3 linked regions of the Nothobranchius furzeri genome follow. The protein of the gene in region 1 purifies or fractionates together with the protein of each later gene. This does not show direct contact. Links are inferred from orthologs where the notes say so. Each region holds a gene or a part of one and is shown in the gene's direction. Other genes may lie near its edges.

Evidence for each region. The genes of interacting proteins can lie anywhere in the genome.
Region 2: the proteins of rfc4 (region 1) and atad5a purify together in Homo sapiens (affinity purification with mass spectrometry; 5 studies listed by BioGRID and IntAct, counting the BioPlex papers as one, with this or other methods). This does not show direct contact. The link is inferred for Nothobranchius furzeri from reciprocal best matches to the Homo sapiens genes RFC4 and ATAD5.
Region 3: the proteins of rfc4 (region 1) and rfc1 fractionate together in Homo sapiens (co-fractionation; 7 studies listed by BioGRID and IntAct, counting the BioPlex papers as one, with this or other methods). This does not show direct contact. The link is inferred for Nothobranchius furzeri from reciprocal best matches to the Homo sapiens genes RFC4 and RFC1.

The regions. Positions count from the first base shown.
Region 1 is NC_091756.1:57,700,520-57,705,735, forward strand, and holds the start of rfc4 (replication factor C subunit 4), read left to right. Parts: upstream 1-2,143; 5' UTR 2,144-2,281; intron 2,282-3,387; 5' UTR 3,388-3,411; coding exon 3,412-3,512; intron 3,513-5,216. UniProt on the Homo sapiens protein: Subunit of the replication factor C (RFC) complex which acts during elongation of primed DNA templates by DNA polymerases delta and epsilon, and is necessary for ATP-dependent loading of proliferating cell nuclear antigen (PCNA) onto primed DNA.
Region 2 is NC_091752.1:53,827,592-53,832,692, forward strand, and holds the start of atad5a (ATPase family AAA domain-containing protein 5), read left to right. Parts: upstream 1-1,575; 5' UTR 1,576-1,932; intron 1,933-5,101. UniProt on the Homo sapiens protein: Has an important role in DNA replication and in maintaining genome integrity during replication stress.
Region 3 is NC_091747.1:79,309,358-79,314,531, forward strand, and holds the start of rfc1 (replication factor C subunit 1), read left to right. Parts: upstream 1-1,648; 5' UTR 1,649-1,754; coding exon 1,755-1,757; intron 1,758-2,151; coding exon 2,152-2,295; intron 2,296-2,659; coding exon 2,660-2,735; intron 2,736-3,100; coding exon 3,101-3,202; intron 3,203-3,303; coding exon 3,304-3,593; intron 3,594-3,698; coding exon 3,699-3,773; intron 3,774-4,047; coding exon 4,048-4,125; intron 4,126-4,202; coding exon 4,203-4,538; intron 4,539-4,621; coding exon 4,622-4,729; intron 4,730-4,826; coding exon 4,827-5,006; intron 5,007-5,174. UniProt on the Homo sapiens protein: Subunit of the replication factor C (RFC) complex which acts during elongation of primed DNA templates by DNA polymerases delta and epsilon, and is necessary for ATP-dependent loading of proliferating cell nuclear antigen (PCNA) onto primed DNA.

The DNA.
Region 1 (5,216 bases):
ACAAGCTATCTCTCAGTACATTTTTTTCAAAGCTACACTTTTATTTAAACATTCAAATGGACCCATCACCAATGGTGGAGAGACACAAAGAGGAAGATCACAAAAGGAGGGAAGGCTCCAGATGACTCACCGACATGAGCGATGACACACTCCACTCGCTGTAGAAGCTCCTGAACCGACATCTCGTCCTCCCTCAGCCAGCACAGCATCTCAGGGTGTGTGTAGCATCCACTCTTCTCCACTCCTGGTCCCTCTGCAGCCACGCCTCCTGTCGTCATCTATCGCCTCCACCTCCCCTCCCTTGGCTGGCTAATCTAATTTCCTCCCGACAGATTTTCTTCTCTATTTCTTTTGTTGGCTTCGTCTAAAATATTGTTTTTCAATTGTGTCTTCCTGAAAAAGTCCTTTCAATTACACTTTCACCAATTCTCAGCCATAAAATAGCCTGTGAACAATAGCAATGATGCCACACCTAGCTGGCTAACAAAACAGTGAGTCGGGGCAATTAATGGTCTAGCTAAATTACAGTAAGAAATAAAAATATGAGGAGGAAATTTTAAAAAGGGAAAGAGGACAGGACTGTGTGAAAGAAAAATTCATTAATTAGTTAGTAACTCAGGAATCACACACTACAGCTAGTCATCTGAGAACAAAAGCAACGATTTATCATGCTGTCAGTCATCAGACTACAGACTTTATGGGCAAAAGACGTTAAAAGAACAAAAACATATAAGCATATCTAACCCAGAGCACGGCCATCCAAATGGTTCATTCCATATGTTTGCGTCATGTCCCACTTGTCCAAAAAACATAATAATCCTCAAAAAGTAGATTCAAGAAATCTCATAAAGTAAAATTAAACAAGTGCTCATCAGGAGAAGGGAGGTAACTGGGGTTTTCCTGGACTCTTCAGGCTTGATGGGAGAGAAAACACTGCTGCTCCTGCTGCTTTCATGATGCTGTTTGCTGTGATGATGAAGCAGAGTTACACAGCGGAAGGATGAATCAGATGGCTGCTACTGCACCTGCCTGCAGGGACAAAGGGGGAGGGGGGTTAACAGGGCTGAACCAGTCGGTGTGAAAAATCCTGGTGCCTGGAGCCCATCAGCCCATGGACTGAGCAGCACCAAACAGACAGCAACAATGGCTTCGTCAAAACTCAGTGGGGATGATCAAACCATGTTTAAATGTATGCTACAAAGCAAACCTTTTTTTAGGATCTCTTTTCAGCATTTCACTGCTGATTCTGGGCCATGACTGGTCACCTAAGCCTTTAAACCATGTTTTCATTCAGTGCATCTGAAGGCCCTCTCCTGGTCCTGCTCCATGTTTTCACAAGTGCAAAACTAGAGGAGGGCCCGAGCATCTCTCAGGGCCACATCCTCCTGGGACTGATGAGAGTGCAGCAATTAGCCTGAGACATCTGCTCTCATCACTTATTCTGGGTTAGCTGGGCCCACAATAATATCCAGCATCAGAACTACTGCAGCTGCCACACATTATCCCAGGAAAGGCTTCATTTGAACTCATCCATTAGCACAACAAAGGGCTGATTTCATACATGAAAATTAATGTGTTGCTGTGTAAACCCTTTGTCATCTTTAAACAACAAATATAGTGCAAAAAACAGAAATATGAGTTGATATAATGAGAGAAAAGAAAAGAGACGCGGGAAATAAACAGGTAAATAGACGAGATTTTTTTATAAACGTTTTTAACTATAAGGAAACAACAAAATTCCATTAGCAATACAAAAAACACACATATTTTTAATCAAGTCGCACCTCCAACAAGTTATTAAAATAGAAAAGAGCAGAACCTTAGTGTGTCAGATATATTAATTAATTTTACGGAGAGGGAAAAAAAGGAAAAGAAGGGAACACAATAAAATCACGAAAAAAAATAATCCTAACAAACCTCAAGGAGGAGCTATTTTTCTTTTCTTGTCAAAACGAGGAAAAAGAAATTCAAGAAAAGTAGGCTGACCCACGAACGTATGAAGCCTAGTAGCAACGGGACTCTTCAACAATTTCAAAGATTTTTATATAAATACACGAGAAAGGAGTCCCGAGGAGGCGGAAGTGTGGAACATCCACAGCATCTGATTGGATGATGTTGATGTCGTCAGCGGAAGTCCGGTTCACCTCGCGCCAGGGCGGGAAGAGAAGCTCTTGTTGTGTTAGCAAACGAGCAGAAGATTCCGTCCAAACTAGCTGTTTCCTGAAGCTAAAGTAGCATTGAGTCTTGTTAGACATTCTCACGTTGGCAGCGAAATCATCTGGTAAAAGCTGGTCTCTATGATACTTTTGTTTACATCCAGGAATTGTGTCTTATTAGCTGGCTAACCTGCGTCATGTTTTATTCCGCGACTAAACTGAGAGGTTTGACGACTGTTGTGGTAAATGTATGCAGAAACGTACTTCGTCTTTTCACGTGGAGTCACGGTGGAGCAGCCATCAGTAAAAGCATATATTTTGTAACTGTTTGCATCACCACGCATGCTTCGCTTCTTGGTTTTGCTCCTCTGATAGATGAGCATCGCTGACTAATTCGTTTAATAAATCATAATAAGTCATGTCAACCGCTCAGGAATAAATATTATTTATTCTAATGAATATCTGTGTAAAACCAACAAAATGTTTCACCTTTATAATCAAGATATTTTTATACCGTTTCATTCTTCCCTCGTGATATGGATTCTCAAAAACAAATGGATGACTACATATAATCCACAGCTTCTTATTCATTTTATGTTATTACATTTTTAAACATCCTTTTCAATGGAGTCGCCATGAAGAGGCAGCAAAAGTTAGTTACACAATTATTCCTTTACACAGTTAAAATTATATAAAAATATTAATTGCATTGTAATTTTTTCTTCCCTTTTAAAGTGCAGAAAGGAAAGGACAAGCTGTATATTCTGTACAGAAAATAAACTCAAGTACTCAGTCTTCATCAGAACTATGCAGCGCTCACAAGTTAAACTGACCACCACATCTTAGTTTAATATCAAGTCCTTTTGAGAAGGTAGATCTGTCTTCATTCATGGGAAAGAATAAAACTGAGTTCACGCAGGCAGCCCCGCCTATTTTAATTATTCTGGTGCAGAGTCCATAGCCTGACCACCTTATATACAACATGGACATATATGCATAGCCAAATCCTCTTGTTACAGCTATGGTGTGTTTAGATTTCTAGGCTAGAATCTTCATGGAGTTGTTACAAACATTCAAAACTTCTAATAATCACTTTTAAAATTGCTGACATGACTTGAACTTCAGTACCCATGACTGGCGCATTATTTAAACAATAACACATTTTATTTATTTTCTCACAAATTATTTGTGTGTGTTGAGTACTCATATTTGTGCACTTCTGGTCTCTCAGATTTTCTGAAACTCCGGAAGAGTCATGCAGACCTTTTTCAACAGAGCAAGTGTCCAGACGAGCAGACCTCAGAAAGACAAGGCAGCAGAGAAGAGCGCTAAGGCTGTCCCCTGGGTGGAAAAATAGTAAGTAATAGTAAGTGTAAATCAAAAAGGTGAATCTGTTTTACTGGAACACTGAGCTGCTGATGGTTCTGGATAGGACTGGGCGATATGACCTCAAATCAATTTCATGAAATATTGAGGATTTCACCTACATAATAATTAAGGCTGCACAATATATCGTAAATATATTGTTATCGCGATATCAGCATGCACAATATGCATATCGCAAAGAACAGATAAATATCGTAATGAATGGTCAGCTCAAATGTTTGCTACACATTATGCATTCTGTCAATCAAACGAAAGAATTAGGTTTTTTTAACAAATCAAATAGAGCTCTTCACCCATTTGTCCAATTGGGTGGGTTGTCATAGGTTAGAGTCCCGCCCCCAAGGCGGACGGCCCTTATTTTTGATGGTTAGCAAACACCTGAGTTAGCTTAGTTCTGCTCTTTCTGCTGATTCTGCTTTTCCCGGGATCCACTGATTGCTTTTCCTTGTTTATTTTCTTTTCCCCTTTCTTTTTCACATTTTTGCTTATCTCATTTGTTTAACTTTCTTTTATTTCTTTGTTTTTAGTTCCTGAGTTCAGTTTTTATTATCGCAAGTAATGTCGTCATCGCAATATTAATCACTGTTATCGAATATCGCAGGTTTTCCTAATATCGTGCAGCCCTAATAATAATGATAAATGGACGATAACTACAGGTATGCGCAGAAACAAATGTTGTCCATTAGATGGGGCTGTCACATGTATTAGTTGAGTCACATTTTTGTCTGACTCAAGGTGGTACTGCTTCTTAACTCATTCACTGCCACTGACGACTAAAGTCGTCATTTTAGATTTAGACTGCTTTAACATTTAGCAGTGCTATAAATACTCACTGCTTTTCCTCCTTGGGAGCCTTTTTTCCTCAAAAATCAAAACGGTTAAATTATTATAGCTGGAAAGAAATATTAATCTTTGCCAAAAATTCTTATTGGAGGGATTTGTTTAAAATGTGTTGCACTTTTAGATCTTACCTCATTCACTGCCATTGACAACTAAAGTCGTCATTTACATTTTTTTTTTTTTACTGTTTGGGCATCGGAACGAGCCCCCGCGCCGAGAGAACAAACATCTCAGCTCTAAAGCCGATCCTCATCCGCATACATCACACGTCACATGATCAGGAAGCAGAAAATCCATGTGTTAGGAGATCCTTTTGGGCCGTTCCGGTAAAAAAAAAAAAGTGAGGCGCGAACCAGAAAAGCTTCTGCCGATCACAATTCAACAACGGATTATGAAAGAACAGATAACGCTCGAAACACGCAGATTCTTCCTGATGTAAGAGGTGAGTCTACTCTTTGTTTTGGTTGTTTTGGCGTCGACATCATCCTTACGTGCAACGTTCTGTGACTCTTAAAAAACAGTAAAAACGGTGAGAAACGCTGGCAGCAAATGAGTTAAAGGGGCATAAACATCACCAACCCACACATATCTTTTCATTTTTTTTAAATTATCAAATTTGTTGACATGGGAAAATGTATCTCTAAGAGTCAGACATTTTGATAACAATACATTTTCTATTTATTGCCCAGCCCTAGTTCTGGATCTGTGCTAGCCTCCAGATCTCCTGTTCTAAACGGATGAAGAGACATCAAACATGTCACAACTACACGTGATTTTGTTTTCCATCTAAAGAATTATGTAGGTCTCCATTTGTTTGAGGCTTTAGAAATCAGA
Region 2 (5,101 bases), on another chromosome or scaffold:
AAGTCATGTTCTCCTTCTGGTACTGCAGGTCATGATGGAAACCACCACACATCAGCCTGAATTAGATTATAACCAACGCATAGAAGGACAAACACTTAGCCCAGTTCAGAGCTGAAAGTGGCACAAGAGATTAATGTTTGCTTTTAAACAAGCTGAGGTTCAAGCTGTGAAACAGTGACTGATAATAGAATTTCATTTAGCTGAAATCCAGTTAGAATATATACATTTATTTCTGTCTGCCGTTAATAAAACCTTTTTTGGTACAGAATAATTACAAGTTATGCTAATAGTAACAGTTATGATGAATAAATACAAGGCAGTCAGGTTGCATTTTGCAAAATTCATGAAAATGGGCATAAATCTAACTTTATTTTCAGCTGAAAACTGTCATATTTGTTTCTACATGCGTTGTCTCTTTTCTTGCTTCAAGCAGCTGAAGTGTTCTCCATTTCTATATCCAGCTTTCTCTCTTTGGGCGCAGCACTCAGATCTGATGGTTGTCAGTCTCTGATTTCATGTGGCAGACAACAAAAAGCTGGCAGGGATCGATTTGTATGGAGGTAGTCCAACTGGTGTGTGAGCTCCTGGCCCTGCTAAATCAATACTCCAGCTCTGATGCACAATAAAGAAGAAACGGCAGCATTGGTGGGATGAGTAGGAAATGAATGAGATGGTGTCCAAAGAGGTGACTTTGTGGCTAGGGTTGGGCATTGATTGATTTTGAACGATTCCGATTCCAATTCCAATTTCTCGTTTCGATTCCGGTTCCGATCGATTCCCGATTCCGATTATTTGAAGACATGACATGTTTTGCATGAGCCAGCTAACCACAGGTCCTACTTGATGAAATAATCTTAACTTCAACATGAATTTTAATTTTATGAACAATTAACATCACCTTCATTTAGACAAAAATGTGTTTTGGAGAAAAAAAGAAAGACTTGCAGCACAACTGCCATGTTTACATGTGCATATTTAATCGGATTGAACGCCCAATCAGATTGAAAATTCTGCATGTAAACATGTCAATCGGAATATTCTGATCCGATTCAATCCGACTGAGAGAGGTGGTTTATTGTGTTCATCATTCCGATTGACGTGCATGCACACAGCCATTCGGATTGTTGGGGTAAAATAATGCCCACTGCGCATGTGTGCAACAGCGAGTGGACCTCTCTGCTGTCATTTGGACTGCCTGACTTCAAAAATGACGGTGTAATTAACGAGCGGCGGCGGCTTTTAAATCCGATGACAAGCCGTCCCCGTTTCATTAATATTTAATTCAGAACTTGCATTTTGTTGAAGGAAAAATAAAAACCTGATTATTGCACAAATCTTTCGACAAACATGTTCAAATCTGTACTGGAAATGCGCAGGTTTATTGCAGGGGTTGCAGCGCACGGATCCCCGTTTCTGTCAGCTTTGAACGCAGCAGCTTCTGCAGCAGGTGATGAAGACGCGCTTGTAAAGAAGACAGGATAATAGGGGTTTTACAAACCTGATTGGAGGCTGGTGTTGGGTAGGAAAACGTCCTCGGTTAAATATTCTGGACGACAGTAAAGTCCGTGTTAAAAGCACATAAACGCAGATGACCTGAGATGCGGTTCGTTAATGATGAACACAGGCTTCTAAACTTTCTGAACATCTTGTTATTTTGTTTGAACAGATTTTTCTCAACAGTTTCAGCTGATTGTCACATGTTCATAAAAAAGCCACAACAGAGCTCAGTAATAAAACATGAGTCACGAGATCACGTTTATTTTTCACGAAGATCGGCCGCGGACTCCTCTTCCGTCGAAATACTGGGAATCAAAACTAGGAATTGAAATAAAAAACATTGAGCGATTCCGGGAAAAATGATGAACAGTTGGAACCGGTTCCAATCGATGCTGATTCTCGATGCCCAACCCTATGCTAACACTGTGACTTGAGGTAAGAAGTTAAAAAATATTATGGACAGAAAATGCAATTTATCAGCTTTTCTTTCACCTTTGCACACAAATCTAATTCTCTATCTCCTATGAGTGCTGGTCTAGAAATGCAAAATCCATTAATAAGTCTTATTTCTACAACGCTGCTAATGTATTGCTTTAACTTTTAAAAGGTAGAATTCAAAAAACTGATTTTAAACACGAGTGAAGTTGACTGTTGATTTGGTGCCTGAAGCTGCTATCCAGGCTGTTTGTTTCTGCAGACACTCCAGATGGAGCTGTTGCCTCTGGTGGATCTAACTTCCTGGAAAGCAGAAACTAGACTAAAATCACTCAAAGACTGACAAAATGTCAGATCTCTTATCTTATTTATGTCTGTATTTAAGAATATATCTGTTCTGACTGAATCAGAGTTTAAAGAGCAAGTCACCACCAAATCAACTTTTTTTGCTGATAAACTATATAAACGAGTGTCTAATTGTGCTGCAGACACGCGTAGTCAATAATTTGGCACTTCAGTGCATCTTAGCTAAAATTTTAATATTCTGCCTAAAACTGTCAGTGTTCCGCTGTCGTCAGGGAAAAACTCTGCACTGTATCTGAATTTAAATCTGCCACCGCTATTGGCTAAGAGGTATGCTATGATGTTAGCTGGTACATTATGATGTCACAATGCCATTGTGAGCCTGTGTGTGTGTGTGTGTGTGTGTGTGTGTGTGTGTGTGTGTGTGTGTGTGTGTGTGTGTGTGTGTGTGTGTGTGTGTGTGTGTGTGTGTGTGTATTTGTTAGCGGCTCCACCCTCTCGGTCTGCCAGGCAACAGCATTTGTTGCATTTTTCAAACATGAAGTGGGAGTGGAGTTAGTAAATTGTAGGGGGTGACTTGCTCTTTAAGCAGCTGTTTCTGTTTTCTGGCTTCTTGCTAGCTGAAGTGTTCATTCACATATTCAGTCCTGGTGAGTGGATGAGTTATAACTAGTTATCAGAACAGCCTCAGGAATTATTTTTAAAAATGAAAAAAAAAAGACAAATAGAGCCATTAAAAACCAGAGGTCCTATAGAAAATGTGAAGGTTGATTGTCATGAAGAGGGGGATATGTTGGCAAGAGGAAGCAAGCAGGGTATGCTTTGGAAATGAAGAGATTCCAAGCTAATGCACCTTGCACAAGTTAGGATGTAGCTCCTTACGGCCTTAGCATGACCTGAGACTGGAGAAGAAAAGGAAGAGAAGGAGGATGAAGCATAATCTAATGAGTAGTGACCAGCTGAAATGATGTAGTCTGGCTAGCCAGAATGAATAAATATATTACTTAGTCTGGCAACGCTCCATTGACGATTCTCAGTCGTAGGGTGGTTTCTACCGTTGTCTTTCAAACGATCTCCGCATGCTACTGAACAACGAACAACGTGGCATACTCACGGCAAGAGATGTCGGTAAACAAGGCAGTCCACTGTTGTACCATTATGGACCAATCACAGTGCTCTATTGGTTCGAAACCCCTATAGAGAGCAATGATTGGCCTGCCAGAATGCTGCTAGGGGCTGCAGAGGTTCCAATGGAGCATTCCCAGACCAAACTTTGCAAAGCAGGAATTTGGTCTGGTTCACCAGGATAGAAATGATGTTCAGGTCACAAGAGTTTAACTAGTACAAAGTTCTTAGAAATATCTTAAGTTCGTATTTTTTTCTAAGGCTTGATCTACACAACAAGATTTTAAAATGGTGAAAAATGTTCCAAACAAGAGTGATCCCACACATAGTGATAAAGAAAATCAAGGATACACCAGTTTTGGTCCTGCAGTGAGTGGTGTCCAGCCATAAGACACTCAACACACCTCTTTGGTGTGTTCTTGCTGTGTTGAAATTCTAATTCCATCTTTTAGTTCTTTTTAAAACACAGAAAGGTTTGCAGCTGCAAACGAAACGTTGCAGGTAAATAAAACCTTTCTGTGTTTTAAAAAGAACTAAAAGATGGGGTCAACACACCTGATATGAACTGGTTTCACTCGGGTCAGAACAGAAATCTCACAGAAACCTGACTTTCACAGAAAAAGTAAGACTTTGTTTCGAAATGTGTCTTTATGCAGATGATGTGATGCTGTGTGTCATAGATAGTATTTTCAGACTGTGGATGTCCATTTAATCCAACAAAAACAGCCATGTAGAAAAGTGTTGAGTCTCTTTTATAAAAAAAAAAAAAACTCTATTTTTCTATTCTGCAAAGACTCCTAAGAGTTGTCTGGTCTGCTCAGAAGAGCGTCTGGCCACTCTAGTCAAAAATCAGGAAATAATAAACTTGTTGGATTGTTGTGATCCAATATTGAGAACAAGCATGCTGCTTGTTAACTATTACAACCTTTGCCATGTGAGTCGAAAGTGAAAAGCTCAACCCGACACAAATCAGGAGTGTTTATGTCAGCGATAAACAAAATAAAGAAGACTAAATTAGCAACTTCACTTGGGAATGACAATTTGGATGAAATCCAAGAATTCCGTTCATTATCTAATGCCACGAGACAGTAACGGATAAAAACAACTATCATTGGTGTAAAACCATTAAAAATTATGGATTAATTAACGTTTGAAATGTTTTAGAGTATACATACAGTGCTCAGCATAAATGAGCACACCCCACTACATGTGACAGAAAACCTTTAGTCTCCTTTTAGAATCAACATTTTTTACGAGGTACTATACAAAATACTCCCACAAATGTGGACCAAACGAGATTTATTAATTTTCACAGACAAAAAGTGATTTTCCTAACAAATCCTTTCAAGCCCATGTTGCAAAAAGGTGTACACCTCAATTATAATATTAGAAGAAAAGCCACACTTAAGACTATAAAATTTGAATTAACAGGCATTCAACCACAGGTGAGCCTAATGATTCATTTAACCCTCCCACTGGCTTTATGGGTGACCACCGCGAGGAAAGTTCACCGTTGAGCAGGATTGATGGTTTATCCCTTGAGGTCCACATGGCAGGGGTGAGGTGGTGCTCACTCCTCACCCCTGCCGCATGGGCCCAAGGGATAAATCATCAACCCTGCTCAATGGTCAACTTTCCTCACAGGGTCACACCCACTAGGACAGTGGGAGGGTTAAGGGGTGCCCAGCATTACTTAAAAAAATAATAACTTCCCATTTCATGCTCTCAGCAATGGCTCCAC
Region 3 (5,174 bases), on another chromosome or scaffold:
ATCTATTCAAGGTTTAGTAGTGTTTACTAGGTGAGGTCATCACCATGTGCTCACACCAGACAGAGTAAAGATTAATGCGTGACACAGATTAACCTTTCACCCAGACTCAGGGGCTCTATCAAGTAGGCGGGTGTGTTTGAGATTTTTGCTAACTTTGGTAATAGATAACAGCGGTCTATAAAAACCAGCCGCTATGCTTCCACCCTTAGACAAGAGTTCGAACAGCAACGGTTCGAGGGTTGGAGAGCAAAGCTTTAGACTGGCCATCTTTAGCTACAGCCTTTTTTAACCAAAAGGATTTTGACACGTCAAAACCTTACACCTTTTTCGCACCTGTGAAGATGAGAACAACTAGTTTTCCTGCAGAACAAAGCTGACTGCTGAAATCCTTCAGAGTTATTTTAAGACGCGTGGTTTCCATCCATCTGTCGTGACCCGAGACACATCTCTAGGACTGAAAGGACGGCACCTCTGTACTCTACAGCCCTCCGGTGCCAGCGGTCATCCGACCACTCTGACTTTTGGATCCACCAAGAGGGTGCCTCTACGGTAATGTAGGCACACAGCATCTGTATGCAGTTGGATAAATAACAGCTTATAGCTTAAATGTAAACCAGAACGCACCTCTCTGAAGATACAGAGATTCTGATTCATCATCTCATATTCACACATAGATTTCAGACACCCATCTTTTAGTTCCATCCACTCACAGGATAAACCATTTGTCAAGTCTTAATTGTTTGTAAAATAAACTCTTATTTGTTTGCAAACACTGACTGGTTCTTGAATCATAAACGAAGTGTGAACGATCCCTTAATAATTAAAAGAATCCTAGAACCTTCTAATTAATCATCCTAAGACCAAGCAAGGTGATATTCTATAATTAAAAGAGTATTACAGCTATTGGTCACAAGTAATACATAGCTTTTAAAGCAATTTATTTAGCCCACATTACTCTACTATTTTCCATTACAGCTTCATTCTGTTTGTGTACAGTTTGAAGTATTGGTATCATAAAAGATATTGGAGTAATAAGCAAATCTAGTTGTTTTAAAGTCCACTGCCCTTATGCTAAATGTGGGTTTTATAGGCTATGAAAAAGAAGCATATAAGTATTTGTAATCTAGCCCTACTCCACCTGATGTGTAGTATTTTTTTCAATATGACGGTTTGGTAAACCAGACAAATATATATATTAACTTTGCAATGCAAGAATTTGGTCTAGTTCACCAGGCCAAGTTTCTACATCTGGTAAGTTATTTTTATTTTTTGCAAATCTAGCAACTAAAGGTGAAGCATTCACACCTAACCTTGTCAATAAACCAACCGTTAAATAAAAGGTTAGAAATATAAATATGCAACATGGAGGGGAAAGAATATTAGAAATGAAGATACCGAATAGTTGATCTAACCACCTGAGGTGCTGTGGACGGTGTGTGATTAGTATTTGACCTCAATAAAAACGTAAAAAGGCTTTAAAAAGCGTATGTTTATAAATGTGCCATTTGTTGTGAATGATGAATAACCATTTCTAAATGTAGGTTAGTCTTCTTGTCCCGCCGGAGGCAAGATAAGAGGCGCGTGCTTCCATAAAGTTTTTTTTGTTGTTGTGTGTTTACATAAAGTTGCACTGACGCAGGCCAACCAGATTTTGCTACGTCATCTCCCGGCGACTGAACAGATTACTGCTTCGCGCCAAGCAGTTCAAGGAGTTTCTTAAATTTCTGTCAACAAACCTACAGAAGCTGTCCCGAATGGTATGTTAAACGTTACAACATTTAATTCGCACACGCGAGAAGCTGCAGATAGAAATGTAAACAACTAAAGCAAAAATAATAACCGTCAGTCATGTCGTTACGCTGCTTTCAGTTCCTCGCACAGTTTGCTGCAGCTAAACAGCAGATTAGCAAGTTTGTATTTAATCTTTACTAGAAACGTGTCATGCTGTAAACGGCGTCGTGTACATGATTCGGTTAGTAATTAAAATTGAGGCAAGTTTACATGTAACCGCTGGTTCAGACTGTCTTTCAAATCAAAACTGAAGGAATACGTTTGAGAGTAAGTCTTTAGGGTTGAATAAATACCCTCCAGCTTGTGTGGATGAATGTGTTCCAGTGTCATCAACTGTGTGTGTGTGTGTGTGTTTTACAGGACATCAGGCGATTCTTTGGACCAGTGTCAGGTAAGCCGGTGGTGCAGAAGCCAGCCCTGCCTGGAAACGCCAAATCAACCGTGAAGAAGAAAAATAATTCAGCATCTTCAGATGAAAATGAAAAAAAGAAAAAGAGCACAAAGGCAAGGACTCATTAACTTCTGATCTCAACTGATCACAAACAAATAAAAATAACTCCATCCCTCATCTTACATCTCACCTTTAAAAAACAGCTCTGCTCTCCCCACCTATTCCACCTTCCTCAGGATCCACTGATTTCCCTCGTTCCTATCCACTCTCCCTCTCTTTCTTTACATTTTTAATCACAATTTGTCTATTTTTTGCTCATTTTAAATATATTTTCAATCATTTTCTAAAATATTTTTGTATATTTTTACATTTTTTGTTTTTGTGAAGCGCCTCGTGATTTTTATCTTGAGAGGTGCTATAGAAAATATCTCTCTTCTTCTTCTTTGATTTTATTTTGAACGTTTTATTTTTTTTTAGATCAAAAACTCCAAGAAAGAAGAGCACCACAAGGGTGGTGGGAAAAAACGAAAGAAGCATGCAGTGATCGAGTCGGGTAAGCTTCAGGTCTAAGTCGGTAGATTTAACATTTATTTCTTTAGCTTCCCAAATATTGACTCTCTGCATGTTTGCAAGCTCCATTCCACATTTTATAGCAGCAACTTCGCCTCAGTCTGTTATTTATTTTATCACTGCTGCTAGACTTCTGACATTACATTGCCGCTAATTAAATTTCTTATAAAATAAATGAAAAAAAAACTTTCATGTTACACAATAATATTAATAATTTATGTAATTCTTGTTTAATCAGGAATTCTTACCATGAAAAAAGATTAAATTGCTTGTAAACTCCATGATAAATCTATTCCTTTCTAAAATATATTTTTATTTTAAAGACGATTCCTCACTTGTTTTGTTCAGACTCTGAGGAAGAGCTGGAGCCTGTGATCAAGTCAAAAGCAACAACCAGTAAAACGGCACCACCTCCTAAAAAGGATCCTGTTCAGTATGTCTCTGAAACAGGTGACACTCTCGTCTCATTCCGATTTACTGTTCTGTTGTTCCGGGATCAGTCTTCAAAAATGTAGATTTCCAGTTAGAGAATGGATTTTTTTTGTTTGTAGACTCCGACAGCGACAACTTCCTGTCCTTGAAGAAAGACTCCAAACCCAAACAGAACGGCACTGCCAAAAGCACAAAGTCCGAACCAGAACATGCTTGTGCAGAAAGCAAAGAGCGAGTGAAGTCTCCCAGTCAAGGTAAACCTGGTCTGAAAAGTCTTCCTGGGCCTACAACTCCCAAGTCCGCCCCACCTCCACCCAAACAGACCCCCACTTCCGTACTCGACTTCTTTGGCAGCGGGACGATTCACCGCTCCGACAAGAAGCTGGTAGCAAGCACCAAACGCAAGACAGTGAGTTCCGACAAACCATCCCCATTTCTTCCTCTTGACTTCTTTTTAATTTCTTTTCATGTTTGCTAAATACATACATAACTCGTAAAAACTCTTGTTCTTTAGCCGACCCACGACTTGGATGACCTGATCAGTGATGAAGAAATGGCTCGGCAGCTGCAGATGGAAGAAGTGAGGGAGGTAAATGGATCTGAAGTCTGTTCAGAGACAGTTCTGTCACTGAGGCGGTTTCCAGACGTGTGAATGTGATGGCACATGCTGCCTTTCTGTACAATAATCTAGTTTCCTCACAAAACCACCTGGTTTGGTATTTTGTTGTAAATCTGTGATTTTGTTTTATTTTAAATAAAAAAAAAGATTAAAAATTAAAATATTTAGTCATCAGAATTGTTCAGAGTCTTTTGACCTTTTTTTCCCACAATAACAATTTTTTTTATTATTATTTTTGATTCAGTTGGAAAAACAGATCCATGAGGACGAGGGGTTTGCTAGAACTCTGGCCATGCTGGATGCAGAGCCGCAGGCTAAGAAAGTAATGAGAACCATGATTATGTAGCGTGTTATCTTTTTCAGGTAAAATCTCACTGTTTTATTTATTCTCCTGCCCAGGCTCGCAAAAGCTCAGAGGAACAACCAGGTCTGAGCACAACGCCCCAAAAGAACCGCACAGGTTCTGTCAGCGCATCAAGCAGCCCGCTGAAGACCAGTCAGAGCAGCGATGTGATCAGTCCATCGCCCAGAAACACCCCAGTCACGGTCTGCTCCAAAGTGGCCATGATGAAGAAGAGAGACGAGGAGAAGAAGGAAGGACCGACGAGGAAAACATCCATGAGAAATAAAAGTTCTCCCATAAAGGAGCCAAAGACATCTCCAACTTCAGACAAGATCACACCAAAACCAGAAGTGACGCCAACAGAACTGAAAAAATCTCCCAAGAAACTTGAGGTGAGCCTCAGCTGCACAGGTCAGGAAGGGCTGCTGTGTGGAAACCAGTAAAAGAAAATGGTTTTCCTCTGTTTTCCCATCAGAACACAAGTCCTGACGATGCAGAGAAGAAGAAGCTGCACTCTTCAGCTTACAGGAACTATCTCAACAGAGAAGGGCCACGAGCGCTGGGGTCCAAGGACATCCCAAAGGTTGGAGCAGAGCTGCACGGCTGCTTTGTTGGTGATAAGAGGTGGTTTGGCTGAGATGGGCTCTGGAGGCAGCTTAAGAAAATGTTGCGTTTCTCAGGGTGCAGAGAACTGTCTGGAGGGCTGTGTGTTTGTGCTGACGGGGGTCCTGGAGTCGATGGAGAGAGACGACGCCAAATCTCTGATCGAACGCTATGGAGGCAAAGTGACGGGCAACATCAGCAAGAAGACCAGCTACCTGGTGCAGGGCAGAGACGGCGGCGTGTCAAAGCAGGAGAAGGTGAGTCACCCGGGTCGGCTTGTTTCATGATGAGTTCAGTAGTTTGTGAGATGTAAACACACACACACACACACACACACACACACACACACACACGCACACACACACACACACACACACACACACACACACAGAGGAAAAGGCATCCTTATGACTGTTCCGTGGCAG